2 linked regions of the Tamandua tetradactyla genome follow. The protein of the gene in region 1 purifies or fractionates together with the protein of each later gene. This does not show direct contact. Links are inferred from orthologs where the notes say so. Each region holds a gene or a part of one and is shown on either strand. Other genes may lie near its edges.

Region 1 (8,132 bases):
AATAACAAATTAGTCACACATTTTCCAAACTCTGAGGCTACTCACACTGATGGATGTTTTGCAGCAATTAAAAAAAAAAAGCTAGCGTCTTAATAAACTAATCCCAAAAGCCACCATATTCAAATCATGCCAACAAAAATTCAAACTAACCTCCTATACACAAAAGGTAAATGGTTCTAGAATTTATACACTTAAAAGGAGAAGAAAAGAGACGTTAACTGTCTCTGTTGTTTTCGGTCTCTAAGACTGAGCTTCTCAGTGTTATCAGGTTGTAAGCATTAAAGAACTTCTTGTGACAGTAAGAAAACATTGATGGGACAATTAAGAAAACGGTAACACTGGATATTGGACATGAAGGAATTAACTTTTTAGATGTGACAACAGTATAGTGATTATGCAAAACACAAAAAAGATACATACTGAAGTATTTATGGATGGAATGATATGGAACCTGGGATTTATATTAAAACAATAAAAGGGAGGAGAAATATATATATGAAATAGGATTAGTCATGTGCTGACTACTGTTAAACTGAGTGATCTAGTGTCTATTTGTAGATGCTTGAAAAATCACAATGTTTTTTAAAATGTAACTGCTTTTGAGAATAATTTCAAGCAATATTTTAATCTGGATCATATACTACCTTTGCATCATTTTCTTAATTCCTTTGGTTTGCATAATTAGAAAATTTCTTCTCAGCAGTACAGACTTTATGGTCAAGGAGCTGTGTCACTGCTGAGACCTCAAATACTTTCCAAATGTAGGGCTCAGCAAATCTCCTTCAAAACCTTAGGGGTTGGGGAGGCGGAAGATGGAACCAGAGAGGAAATAAGGAGGGAGGCAAACTTTAACAATGAACCTGTCCAAATCGTTACCATAAGAGCTCCCCTACCCCAACTTCTCAGAACCAATTACTAGACACTTGGGTTCATTCTTTCATTTTCCTTATAGTTTAATAGCAGACTGATGCTTTCTAGCTTACTTCACTGCCCTTTACATCCATGCTAACCGAATAAGATACAAACAATTCCAACTACTGTGTAACCAGATCAAAAACAAGCTCTGGCTAACTCACTTGGAAGAGTACACTCACCACTTAGATTTGGCCAGAAAAACCAAGTTAGAAAAAACTGACTGGCGCTTAAGCAAACACTGGGCATACGGAAAACGTCTTTAAGCCAGTTACTAGGCCACTTGGAGAGTTGCAACACAATCTTTTCCAAAAATTTCCAAACACTTCCAAATTCAGTTGAGCCCAGCAGTTGCAGTTAACAGGGCTCCCTTTCAAATTCAAAAATCTGCTCCCCCACCCCTCGACAGTTAACCAACAAAACACATGGGATCACCTAAAAATACTGACTCAAGTTCAGACCGCAGGCCTGTACAAGGACCATGTCAAGGGAAGTCGAGGCTGGGGAGAAGCCTTCAAGCGACAGATAAATCCTGTTCATAAGGCACAAGGGAGATGATAGGATCCACACTTAATCTGGCCTGAGAAAAGAGCTTTGGTCAGCGCCCAAACCCCTTCCCCCATTCTACTGAGACAATGACAATTCTTCATGGGAAATCACAAAGAGCTTGTTCATATTTTTTTTCCTAGCCCAATCATATACCCACTTTACCAGCTAGCCCTTCCCCCCACCTACAAATCCCTCTTTCCATGCAAATAACTTTTAGAAATTGTTAAGTAATGAGAGGCAAATCAGGGCGGGGAGAATTTAACACCCTAATATTGTCAAGGCTTGCTCTTCCATTGCCTACTGCCCTTCCAGCATCTTTAGAATGTGCCCTGGATAAAATGAACACCACTGTTAGTCACATCTGGTGTCAGCCACTCATCACAGACTCATACTGTACAGATTTGTTAGTTTCGTTTACGGCTGGTGGGTGGGAGGGAAGGGTGTTAAAAAAAAAAAAAAAAGGAGAGAGGAAGACCTAGAATGGGTGTGAAAGCCAAGGCATCCTCCTTGCTCTTCATGCTCCCTCATTTCTGTTTCAACTACACACCTGTCAAACAGGTTATTCCTGGAATTCAGATTTTATCATCCTCACACCGTAATCCTTCCTCCTCCTGCTGCCCAAGCACACACCTCTCTCCCTGCTTCCCCAAAACAGGCATCCATCAGGAGGGCGTCCAAAGGAGCGATCAAGTGGCCACCGTGAACACCCAACTCTGCACCCGAGCAGCTGGCTCGCCTCCAAACACGGAAACGCGATGACAATCTTTAAGAAGGCCCAGACAGTGGTTTAAGAACATCATCAGCACGGCCGGCCTACCGTGAATGCTTAATTAACCCACCACCTCACTAGGCCAGACGCCGAGTCAAGAAGAAAAGCTCCGCAGCTTGTCTTAGGAGAGCTGTTTCTCCATCTCCCCGAAGAGAAGTACGAGCCTAGGAGGGCCGTTTACTTGCTTATCTCAAGGCCAGGAAATGAGGTCTTTCGAGGCCAGTCCCGAATATAAACTCAAAACCTGCGAGCCCGCCGGGCGAAGCCCCTTTGCCTAACTTGGGCCAAGCGGCGCGGCCCCGGGTCAGCGGCGCGGCGGTCACCCGCTCCTCGCCTCCCGGCCAGAAGTTTGAGCACGCCCCGGGAAACAAAGAAGGCGCCCCACACCGACCTTATAGACTTGTCCGTAGGTGCCATTGCCAACCACTTCCACCAGCTCAAAAATCCCAGCCGGATCCTGGAGGGGAAGGAGGGGAGGGGTTACGATTTAAAAGCAAGGGGAGGAAAAAATTGTGGTTTTTTTTTTTGAAGAAACAAAGCGGAGCGGCTGGAGAAAGGGCGGTTCCAGGGAGGTGGGTCTCGCCCCGGGGCCGGTCCCCGCCGGCGGCCGCCCGCGCCCCCCGCACACGCCACCCCGCAGACAAAGGGGCCGCCGCGCCCGCCACGCCCGGACCCCCGCCCCGCGCCCCCTCCGCGGCCACTCACCCGCAGGGAGGACAGGTCGATGTCCACCAGACTTTTTGCAGGGGAGTCGTTCGCCATTTTCCCTTTCTGCCACCCCCGAAGCAGTGATAAAGATCGAGCGGGATTGGCCTCTGCCAGCCGAAGGCCGCGCGGCCGGCCGCGCCTCCTCGCCGGGGCAGCGGGGCCGGCCCGGGGCCCCTGCGCGCGGGTCGGGTCGGGGCGGGCGGCGGCGGCGGCGGGCTGGGCCCGGCTCTCGCGCCGGCTCTGGGCTCCTGCCGGCCGCGGGCCGCGCCGAGGGGCGGACGGAGCGGGCGCGGGCGGCGGCGGCGCTCACACCATGGCGCGGGGGCGGCGTCAGGCCCCCCGGCGGCCCGCGGCCCGCGCCGCGCGCATGGAGGACGCTGCCCGGAGCGTGGGGCCCGGCGCCGCCGAGAGCCGAGCGGGTGCGCGCGGGGCGGCGAGACAAAGCTGAGCCGGGAGGCGGAGGCGGAGGCGGGCTGTGGGGCGGAGAGGGAGGAGGAGAAACGGGGCTCCGAAAATACAGGGTGAGGCGAGCGCCGACAGCTCCCCCTCGCCTCCTCCGACAGGAAAGGCGAGCGGAAACGCACTCACGCCCCGGAGCCCCGCCGGGGGAGGCGCGGGCCGCGCCGTGAATATTCAGCAGGGGTGGGGTCGGGACAATGGCCGGGCCGGCCGGGCAGCGGGGCCCAGTCGTCGGGCGCCCGGGGAGGGCTGGGGAGGGCTGGGGTTTCCTCAGGGAGGTGCGAAGGGGCAGAAAGTGTCCCCGCCGGGCGCAAACAGGCGCCACATCAAAGGAAATAAACTTGGACCCCGACGCCCTGGGGCGGCCCAGCTAGTCCGTCTCTCGGCCGGAGGGGGTGGCCCGCCCGGCGCGGCCGGCCGCGACCCGGGGTGTCACCTCGGAGCGGGGCGTCCTCCGTTCCTCCTCGGGCCCCTCTCGCCCCATCCTCCCCCGCCACCATTGAGTCTACCTTTAAGACCCCCATTTCCGGTTCCCCTACGCCGTTTTCTCTTCCTTTATCTTCCTTTCCAGGCTAAATGTGTGGCGCGGGGGCAGCGCGGGACCCGCTGAGCATCCTTCGGCTCCGCGGCCTCGGGAGACTGGCGGTAGCGGCATCCGAGCAGCGCGGCTCCTGGCCTGTGCTGCGTTCCTTACAGCCCTGGTAGGTGACCGTGAACTGGGTGTGGAGACCCTAAATACTAAATAAGCCATGTTTCAGCAGACGGGTTTCTTTCAGCAATGGGGGCAGGTCGCCGGGTAGTTAGGCAGAATAATCTACAATATATTGCGTGTCCGGGCTCAGCAGTCATCTTCAGCAGCCCACGCCGCTGTCCAAAACCTCTTGGTCCTGGTTAAGCGTGCCCCAGAATCACTTGGAAGGATTGTAAAAAAAAAAAAAAAAAAAGAAAAGAAAAAAAAACCGGGATGCTGGCCTCCAACTCCAGAGCTTCTGATTGAGTAGGTCAAGGTTGGGCCTGTGAATGAGTTCTCTCTAATGAGTTCTCGAGGATGCTGATTTTGAGAACACTTTGAAAATTGCGGCCTCAGGGTGAAAATCCCAGGCCCTTCATAATTGGGCCTTATGAACATCAGCATCATCACCATCATGTTATCTACCCGTCTCTATGCATTTTATACCCTCGCATTGTACTAAACCAATGTCCAGTTTTACCCCTCCTGTAGCCCTGGGGTAAATGCTTTCCCCACTTTAAGGATGAGGAAACCAAAATGTAAAAGACCAAGGAATGGGCCCAAATTCCTTAAAAGATTAGCCAGTAAGTGGAGTTAGGATTCTCACCAGATCAGCCTATTCCCAAGAGCCAAGTCTCTGTTCAGCCAGGTTAGTCTGCTCTACCCAGAGTAAATTTAGCAGTCTCCTGCCTCCCAAGGGTTTGGTTTCCAAAATTTTTGACCATCAGAATCCCTTGTACGGTTAAAACATATTCAGGAATTCCTGATATCCATTGATTAGGGCAAATATAGTAACCAAAATATCCATGTGAATTAGTGCTTTCAAATGATTATTTTAAAATCACTCAACAATATTGGGGTGCACACGTGGTTCAGTGGTAGAATGCTTGCCTGCATGAGGGAGACCAGCCCATGTATCACCCCCCAAAATAAAAATAATGCCATTATCTATGAATATAAGTTAAATAATTTATTCAGGGAGCTAGATTGGTGCACACGTGACCTTTCAGAACATATTACAAATATTATTTCAATAGTGTTTACTTTTAATAATAGATAAAATGTGTTGGGTCCAAACCATGTGCTAAGTCCTTTACATGGATTATCTCATTATTCTTCATAGAACCCCAAATGGTATGCAATATTCTTTTTCCCACTTTACACATTAGAAAACCAAAGTCTGAGGAAGTTGCATCAATTGCTTGGTGTGCATGGCTGGGCACTGCAGAAATGCTTGGCCCCCCAGCCATCCTCCCCCTACAAGTTCAAGGCCGAAGCTCTAAACCATAACATTGGGCCCACCTCCAGACTTACCCCTTCCTCTTTCCCCTCTAGATTCACATCTTCTCCTCAAGCCCAAGTCAGAAATCATTTCTTCCCTCTCCTCTCAATCTGTCTCGTAGGCTACTATTTCCTATGTCACCATTGCGACGGTTATTTCCCCGTCAGTTGAATACCTAGTCTTGTAGTGGCTATTAAGTGTGAGAGTTGGCTTAGCCATTGTCTGAGGCAGAAGGAAAATACCATCAGAGAGCATATAATCTGACAGTGGGAATAAGATCATTTCATAAACCACTGCACTAAAAGGCAGAACGTTTAAGTTCTAGCAAGTTGGAAAGAGCACTCACTCAACAGGTCAAGTGGTTGATGCTTTTCGTGCAAAACTGAATTGTGTTTGAACCCCATTTATTTTATCGGTGGTGTAACCTCGAATACGTTGCTCAATCTCTGAGCCTCCGTTTCCTCTCTGTGTGTTGGATGAAGCTGAGGTAAAAAGAACAATTAAAAAGACTATCATGTGGATGACCAGAGGGTACATCAACTGATGAATGAAAGCATAAACTAGGTGTATACATACGACAGAATATTGAGTGGCTGCAGGAAGGCTGCAGGAAAGAATGAAGTCATGAGGCATATGAGGCATGCAACTTGGTGACTGAATCTTGAGGACCTTATGTTGAATGAAAGAAGCCAGAAACAAAAGGACAGACATTGTATGCTCTCTTTTAAAAAATACATATAAGAAAACTAGGGCCTACATTGTAAGCTCTTAGAGCTATCACATTTGAGCTTTAAGTGTTATTTCTAAATTCTGAGATGCTGTGCTCTATGTGTATAATCTGGTATTTTCATGGAGCTTTGGGTGTTTGTGTGATACCTAAGACTCAGAGTTAAAGTTCTGAAACTGAAAGTCAGGATTACTCCATATAGCAACTGCTAAAGAAGCCAAAAAGAGATCAGACTTCAATTAGAGAAAAGGATGATGCTAATCTGGTTCTGACTAAGGCTAATCAGAGTACAGGGTAAAGATTGATATTGTCTGTATTTTAAAACTTCACCTACTGTGTGAGAACAAAGGAAGAGATGTTTATTTTGTCCAAAACATAAATTTTCTGTAGTACACAATCTAACTTAACCTGTCTAGCCAGTTTGGTTAAATGACCTAAACACATGGAGTCTAAAATAGGGAATAAGATCTTGTAAATTTGTATAGCTTAATATAGCACCCTGATACATTCCAGAATATGCTGGGCAGAAAAATTGACAAAGTCCCCTAAGTGACTGGAGAAAATATATTGAACTATTAAACTTCCCCACCTGGGAAATTCCTGATACTCTCTCAAGCATTAGGGACTCCGTAGTTAATAGGCCAAGCCCTCAATCTTAAGGCTTGCTCTTATGAAATTTATTTCTATAATGGGGAAGCAAAGCCTACCTGTAATCATGCTGAGTCACTTCCAGAGAACCTCTTTTGTTGCTCAGATGTGGCCTCTCTCTCTCTCTCTCAGCCCAACTCTGCAAGTAAACTCAGTACCTTCTCCACTACATGTAGGACATGATAGCCACAGGTGTAAGTCTCTTTGGCAACATGGGACACGATTCCCAGGGATGAGCCTGGCCCTGAAATCATGGGATCGACAGTGCCTTCCTGACCAAAAGGGGGAAAAGAAATGTAACAAAATAAGGTATCAGTGGCTAAGAGATTTCAAATAGAGTTGAGCAGCTATTCTGGAGATTACTCTTATGCAAGCCTCAGCTAGATACTACATATTGCCATGATATGCCAAGCTCCAATCATTAGTATTCCTGAAAACCCTAAAGAACACCCAGGTGTCAGGCTGAGAGATTTCAAACAGAGTTGAGAGATTATCCTGGAGGTTATTCTTATGCATTATATAGACATCCCCCTTTTAGTTTACTGTGTATTAGAGAGGCTAGAGGGAAGTGCCTGAAACTGTAGAGCTGTGTTCCAGGAGCCATGTTTCTTTAAGATGATTGTATAATGATATAGCTTTCACAGTGTGACTCTGTGATTATGAAAACCTTGTTCTGATGCTCCTTTTATGTAAGGTATGAACAGATGAGTAAAAAATGTGGATTGAAAATAAATGAATGACAGGGAAACAGATGTTAAAAAAAAAAAAAGATAAAAAGAATACCCAGGCCCTATCCATGGCTCTATACAAGTTTCACTCACTAAGTTTACTTTTCAGAAACTTAAAATCTCCAGATTGTTCTATGCTAGATACACCCTGAAATCCAGAGATACCAGTCTCTCCAAGAGCATCAGCCAGTTGCATCACCCTACCCCATAATGTTGACATCTCTTTTCATCTTGATGAAGTTAGAATAGTTATTGCCCAAATATCCCTGAAGACTGGGAGAAGGATTAAATGAGAAGGAAGAGTTATAACAGAGAAGATAGGACTTATATAATTGTGACTACTGAATCATTATACTGATATTTCTTGTTAGTATCTAGTATACAGGAATAGCTCAAAGGAAATACCTGAAATTGTAGAATTGTAACCCATACCATACTTTGAAATTTGCTCTATAACTATATGTTAAACCATACTTTGAATTTATCACTTTTCTTCACATTATATCTCACAATAAAAAACTGAAAGAAAAAAAAAGACCATTGCATGGATGGCCTAAGGGTACATTGACTAATGGATGGAAGGGCAAAGTGTGGTATATACACATGATGGAATAGTGAGC
Region 2 (7,643 bases), on another chromosome or scaffold:
AGCTATGTCCAAACTAAAATCATACACCCAAATAGAGAAAATATTCTCCATTGAACTAGGAACTAGATCATTTCTACAGGTCCTACCTACCAGATTTATATAGAGAATAATATAAAACTTAGGTTACATACTAACCTTAGGACTCATATAATCACTTCTATCCCCCATTCTATACTAATTCAAAAAGGAAGTTCCCCAAATATGATTAACCCATTCATACATGAGCATGTTTGGCCATTTCCATATTCTTGCCTGCTTGTCATCATCACTCTTTGTAACACCTGTTATCCTAGCACAGGCTTGCTGCATCTATGCATTCCTAGCCATTTAGCAAGAGTACTTGAGAGAAAGTGTTTTAGGTGGGAACAAAAACACCTTAGAATTTACCTAGAAGATCAAAATTAAGAACAGATTAATACACTTAAATGTTTCATTTTAAATTTAATGGTATGCCTTTATCCCAGCAAAATCTTAAAATATACTTAAATTCACTTCAAGTGAGCAACTCCTGAGAAGAACAATGAAGGGGGATTCTGGGGTGGAAAGAAGTCATACTTTTCTTCACATACCTCTGTTTTTACTACTTGAATTTTTCCATATGTATTACTTTTTCTAATAAAAAAACCATTTAACTACAAAAAATAAGAAGAAGAGTCTTAACAATTCTCCAGCAGCATCAATTTGGAGGGTGAAAAAATATTGATTCAAGATGATATCATAGATTGTATCCTTACACCACAATTTTTTTTTGTTTTTCATCTCAAAAGATTTGACATAAATATAAAATCTATGTTTAATTTGAACAGATACAGTAAACACAGAATATACATGGGCAGAATGAAGGAAAAACGGGACTGAAAATTTAGGGACAAATACTGTTATTTGGTATTTGCAACAATTTTGTTTGATCATATAATCAATTCAATCTTCTAGGCTAAGCTTTATTTCCCTGTGTCCTTACAGAAACACAAATTTCAGCTGAGAATCCAAACTTATGGTAGTTAGGCTCAAAAGAGTAATAGTCTCTGTTGAAATGATGGCAGTTTTTCACCCCCCATTTATGTCAATAACAGAAGTGGATATAATGGACATCTTATGAAAAACCCTTCAAGAGATTTCCAGCCTCAAGAGAGTCAGCTAATAGAATAACAAATCTCCCCAGGATCCTTTAGAAAAAAAAAAAAGCCTGTCAAATAGCACCTTTAGTACTTTGGTAGTTTGTGGGGAAAAATGTTTTTATGATACTATTGTTTTGGAATTTAAGCCTACATAAAATGAACTTTTGTTTGGTTGCAATAGCTTTGATTCATTTACTAACAACTCAACATCTTAAAAAAAATTCAGAAGTTGCTATATTAGTCAAGTTACTGGAAAAGTTTGCCACAGTACCTTAAAAATACTAAGAAAAGTGTAATTAGTAAATTGCACCCGCTAAAGCACTTAGTCTCTTAAGTATACAACATTAAGTGCTTACCTTTAAATGCAGAAAAAACATCCATTTCCTAAGTCAATGGAAGTCAATACAATGGGTCAATATGAGGTTATTTATTTTCAAGCAATAAATAGCAACATTTATTGCAGCTCTTAAAACAATGTTAAACCTTCACTCTGTCTTACAGTGAAGGACAGGACAGATTTTCCTAAGAAACTGGACCACATCCAGTTTGGCTAACCAGCCAGGGTAAGAAGTCTGCATTTTCTATAGTCAATGCTACCAAAAACACTTTGGAACTATGGCACAAAAAGAAAATCATTCTTGCTTTTTTGTTGGTTATTAATTCTGGATACTAGTCTTTTCTATTAGTAACTTCCCTTTTTGCCACACATTCTAAGTAAAATGCCTAGAAGGCAGGTCTTGGGTTCTTTATCTTGCAGCACTCAAATTTATGATTCAAGTTGAGAAACTTGGGTGAGAATAGAGGCAGAGGGGGAAGCAGACAGAAAGAGCTTATCTGTGCAAAAGATAATGGACTCCAAATAATTTTCCTTTCAAAGTGCTCTATTTGCTGGAGATTATCAGTTAAATCTTGTGTTTTGTTGAGTAAATTAATCAATACTTGTTGAATTGAACAAGCAGCTTCAAAAGGTTTTATTCCAGGCTAACTATAGGCGGACTGGCCCGTCTATTCCTTGTTCACTTTTCTTGGACCTACAAACAACTTTAAGATATTTGTTGACGGTTATTACTGCACTACTCTCTATAGAAACAACCCGAGACTTTTCCATGCGAGGAGTAACCTCAAAAATGGCCCATGTCTGACTTTCAAAAGCAAACACAGTCATTAATGCACAGTTTCAGGCAAACCAGAAGCAGATGCAGGATTAGCACACCCCTTTCTAACAAATTACAAGACTTGGTTTTGGTTACCTGAAAAGATTGTTGGTTAACCAGACTATAGACGAGGATGAAACCTTGGCCGTTTTTGATGTAAAGATCTCTCATGGAGGCAAACTGCTCAGTTCCTGCGGTGTCCAGAATTTCCAGCACGGAGGGGGAAGAGTCCACTTCGATCTCCTTGCGGTAGAAATCTTCAATGGTGGGGTCATATTTCTCAATGAAAGTCCCAGTGACAAACTGCACAGTAAGCGCAGATTTGCCAACCCCTCCGCTCCCTAACACCACTACCTTGTATTCCCTCATGAGTCTCACCTTCACCAACTCCTACCAGAGGAGGGGTGGGGGGACAACACCCGGCTAGCTGCGGTGCGGCTAGGCGAGGCGGAAGGTGGGCGGAAATCTGCGAACTGGGGAGGAGAGTGCAGAGAAGCCGAGGGCCCAACGGGGGAAGAAGAGGAAGTTAAAAGAGGGGGAGGGGAAAGAGCGAAGTGTCGGGGTGGGTGGGGATGGGATGGTAATGCCCTTCCTATAGGAACTGAAGCCCAGGCAGGGGGCGTGGGGACGAGGGCGAGCCCGGGAAGATGCCAGCGAGGGTGGGGAGACGAGACCTGCCCCTCCGTGGGGAAGTGGGGGGGGGGGGGGTGGACGCTGCAGAAAGGGGGCCCCCGCGGGAAGGCGGACGTCCGAGAAGCACCCCTCCCCCGCCCTTCACACAAAAGTGGCCCAGGGACCCCGCTTCCTGCTCGCGCCTCCGAGCCGGCCCTGGCCTGCGGGCTCCGCTCCAGTCACTGCCGCCCGGGCGGGTCTCCGGGTCCCGGCTCCCGCGGGGGGTCGTCCGGCCTGCGAGGGGGAGAGGGGTGCGCGTTACCCGCCTGACCTCCGCCACCCCTCGCTCCCAGCCAGCCCCGGGCTGCCGCCGCCGCCGCCGCCGCTTACCCTGCCGTCCGCGCCCGCCCGCCCGCCCGGGAGGCTCTGTCACGCCAAGGCCATTGCCACCGGCCGGCTCCTCGGTCTCACCGCCGCCCCAGAGCTGCCGCTCTCAGAGGAGGAGAAAGGGGCGGGGGGCCGTCCGGCCGCAGCGGCCGCAGGGACTTCAGGCTCACCCACCTCTTTTTTTTTTTTTTTCCCTCAGCCACCCCCCCACCCCCACCCCCTACCCCCAGCACACACCCGGAAGGGTTTCCCTGACACACTGGCTGAGGTGCCCCAGTTCCCCGAGACTGGACGGGATCACTTCCGGTGGGGAAAGTCCCACCTCTTCGGGGCGAGCCGGTTGGCGCTGGGGCCGCGCCCTGCCCAGCGGGCGAGAGGGCGAGCGGGTCGGGGACGGTTTCGGGCCGGGACGAAGGACCTCTGGGTGGACTGCCAGCGTCCCCCCTATCCGGCCCGCAGCCGTGGCTGTTGACGGTCCCACCTCCCAACCGGGTGAAGCCCCTCCGCGGCTCACGCTCCCCCAGCCAGGCCTGAGGACTCATCTCTCTTTGGCCAGGACACGGGACCACCAGCTAATTATCCAGCGACCGGGAGAAGACCAAAATCTCTGAGCTAGAAGTTGCAGGGAAAATAAAACGGCCGAGAAAGTTGATGGTCTTTGCTGGTATTTCCTCCACTTGTTATTTTTTTCCAAGAAATTCATGCAAACTACCCCTAGACTATGCTATTGTTTCCTATTCCCATGTGGGCGTGTTACTTAGCCGTGCCTGGCAAATAATTAAACACAGAAACGCGCAATACTTTTATCATCTGACAGGTCTGCCTTGACCCCATCACTCACTTTCTTATCACAAGGCTGCAAAATGACAGCATTGGAAACAGACTCATGGTATGCTACTTCACTTTTGCCTCTATTTGATGTCAAAGACTACGTAACAGAAAGGGAAACCAATATGCAGGGAACAGTTGATTGGAAATTGTTTAGGTCAGCGGACTAATTTCCTTTAATCATTGATCATCTAAATGCAGAGCAATTCACACTGTTGACTCTCCCACTTTAAAGTTTATTTTAATTGTCATCCTTGAGGGTCATTGAAATTCAAAAACAAATAATTACTAATGCTAGACACTAAGTTGCTATTTTTAGATAAAATTGTTACTTCTCACGTAGCTTTCACTCTGACAGCCTTCTATTTGTAAACTTCGTATCAGATCCACAGAGCCCCAGGATCAGAAGACTAGTCACATTTTCGGCAGGTCCCCCCCTTTTAAATTCAAGCATGCACCCAGAAACCTGAGAAACATGGTGGCCAGCCTAGTTAAATTGAATTTTAAGTCCCTTACTTGCAAGCTTGGCTGGACAGACTGAATACAGACAAATCCAAATTACTGGACCCTAGAAAATAGGCAAATCACAGTAGTGTGTCCCACCCTGAGTGTTTCCCAATGTCACTTACAGTATCCAAAGGACCGTTTAGTTCAATTTTTCCTTGGCCCAGGCCTGGCGCAATCTCTCCAGCAAAGTCCCCAGCTCTGGCTCCAGCTGGCCTGGACCTCGCTTCATATCAGACGCACTGCCCTCTGCTGGAAAAGGTTTGTTCTCTGAGTTATGAGTCTCCCCATAGGTCACTGCTCCTTTCACACGTGCTGTTGCCTGATTTGGAGCTCTGCTGCCCATCTCCCCGTCTAGCTGTCTCCAGACTGTCTGGTAGAATCCACAGCCCTCCACCAGCACTGCTTGTAATTGAGTCTGGAAATTCCTCTTCTGATCCAGCCACTGGTTTAGCAATCTTAGCAAGTCTGCTCTATCCCTAACTGTCAAAACATGGAGCTCTTCTTTTTGACGCCATCCCACCTGTTGGCAGATGCACTATCTCTGATGTATTGGTCATGGTTTGGAGAGAATTCTTTGTTTCTCCATACAGTGAAACATACTCCTCCCCTCAGTACAGAATCCTTTTGGGTCAGTCTCGTCAACTAAGGGGTCGCCAAGTGCCACACTCAGCCTGAAGAGCTTTCTTAGTAAAGCATTGTTTAGGAAAACAAAGACTTGGGAATAAACTTCAATGTTTTCCTACACATGATTCAAAAATATATGAGAAGGGCGGTACGATAGTGGCTCAGTGGCAGAGTTCTCACCTGCCATGCCAGAGACCCGGGTTCGATTTCCAGTGCCTGCCCATGTTAAAATATATATATATGGATACATTCACAAAATGGAATACTAGGTTGCTATTTTAAAAAGAGATGTAGATTTGTAAGTACTGTTATGAAAAGAACCCCACAATGCATTGTGAGACTGAAAAAGATACTAAACAAATATATCGTTGCTTCCATTTATGTAAAATATGTGCCAGTGCATATGCAATAATTATATAGCCATTAAAATCTGAAGCAAACTAGTTAATTATGGGTGAGGGTTATCATGGAAGAACTGTCTTTTCTCCATATCATTTTAATTTTAAAATAATGATCAGGTATTATTGGGGAAAAGACAATAAATATAATTTTAACATTTTAAAGGGAAAATAAAAGGAAGTCTTTGATCATCGCTTCCTCTAAAAACAATATCCTAAATGTTTAGGAGTCAGTGGACAGGTCTGCTCAATTTAGACAAACTCCCTGTCCCTTTTTTACCTCCCCCCAAACAACTCTATACTTAGAAAATTATTTTCACATACATTATCTCATTAGACTCCAGTTGTTCACCAGTTTACTTTCATTAGGCCATGAGAGTGTAAAGACCAATTCGAGGTACAGGGCCTGGCAATTGAGGGCTAGAGTTCTTAAATGAGACAGGCAGGGATTTAAATTGCAACTCTCCTACCTCCTAGCTGTGTGATTTCACTGTCTGAGCTTCTGATTCCTTACCTGTAAAATGGGGATAATTTCATGTGAGAATATATATGAGGTATTGCATGTAAAGTGCTTAGCACACAGTGAATGCTAGCTATTTGGTTTTTATTTAAAAGGCTTAATAAAATGTTTGTTTTGCTTTTAATCAGAGAGCACAGGGTAGAAAACAAAATGTAAAAAAAACCCAAATATCTCTGAATGGCATAAAAGTAATAACTCAGTACTTCTTTCCAAAGATATACCTATTTAAAAAGCCCTTGTGTTTCCTTTCTTGGAGGAATAAAAAGGTTATTTATATTGCCAGTGCATCTATCAATCCACATTCTATATGTATCTTTTAAGATTGCCACAAAAGTGATCACACTACAAACTGCATACACCATTCTGCATCTCACTTGTTTCCACTTACTATATCTTGGTGATTTTAGAACATATATATCTATTTCATTCTTTTAAATAGCTGTACCAAAATTTGGGTGAGGAGTTCCCTATTGAAGGACACCAGTTGCTTTTAATTCTTTGCAATGAGCATCTTGCATATATAGCTTTGTCAGTTAATCTTTAGAGTGACTTTCTAGTAGATCTATAAATGAAACAAAGGGTATTTGCATTTAAAATTCTTCTGGAAAATATTGCCCAATTGACCTTCGGAAAGGTCATACCAATTCACACTCCTGTCAATGCTGCATGACGCTTAAGTTAGGAGTATTGTTATTAATACTGATCCCTTAAATTTATTTGGTACTTTTTTATACCCTCACCTTAGCTATTTTTAGAATTTTATTGCCATCATTACTCCCTTTAGGGTGTTTGCAGGACTAACAAATGTAGCATAGTGTGGTAGAAGGAATTTGGACTTCGGAGTCAAACAGTCCTAACTAACACTGCCCTTTGCTAGCTACAACTCCATTTTCTCCTTGGTAAAGTTGAGCATAATAGCAGTATCTAAATCACAGGGATCCTTTAGGGAATAAATGAGACAACCCATTCAAAGCACTTAGCCTGCCAAACACTAACTGCTCAATAAATACAAACTGCTCAAATGATAACTTTCCACTCCCAGGGCTCAAAGATGAGGGGGAGGGCTTTTCCTCCAGAGACCATGCCCTTGAGACTCAGAATTTTGCTTTCATTTCTTCTGTATCAACTGCCACCCCAGAGTAACTGTTGTTCGTGCAATGATTTTCAGAAACACAGTCAAATTTTACCATAAGGTGAAGAAATCTTAGTCTATATACTCTGGAGCCCCTTTGATATCAGTTAGGTTATCTTACAAACCCCTTTAGCCTCTGAGATGCAAATCTCCCCATTCAAATTCTGCCTCCTCTTACACCAGTTGCCCGGCACGTTAAGCTCCCTGAGTACGCGAAAAACAGTAAAATTTCCTTGTTACACTTCTCTCATTATAAAAAATAATGCTTATTGAAAAAAAATCAAGAAATAAAGCTGTCATCTCATTACCCATGGAAAATTGCCATTAACATTTTTCTGTCTTTCTCAAAATTTTTCTGTAAGA

What was found.
Region 2: the proteins of MAP4K4 (region 1) and RAP2C purify together in Homo sapiens (affinity purification with mass spectrometry; 3 studies listed by BioGRID and IntAct, counting the BioPlex papers as one, with this or other methods). This does not show direct contact. The link is inferred for Tamandua tetradactyla from reciprocal best matches to the Homo sapiens genes MAP4K4 and RAP2C.

The regions. Positions count from the first base shown.
Region 1 is NC_135343.1:7,241,445-7,249,576, reverse strand, and holds the start of MAP4K4 (mitogen-activated protein kinase kinase kinase kinase 4), read right to left. Parts: upstream 3,102-8,132; 5' UTR 2,993-3,101; coding exon 2,936-2,992; intron 2,688-2,935; coding exon 2,622-2,687; intron 1-2,621.
Region 2 is NC_135353.1:30,358,195-30,365,837, reverse strand, and holds the start of RAP2C (ras-related protein Rap-2c), read right to left. Parts: upstream 3,107-7,643; 5' UTR 2,642-3,106; coding exon 2,369-2,641; intron 1-2,368. UniProt on the Homo sapiens protein: Small GTP-binding protein which cycles between a GDP-bound inactive and a GTP-bound active form. May play a role in cytoskeletal rearrangements and regulate cell spreading through activation of the effector TNIK.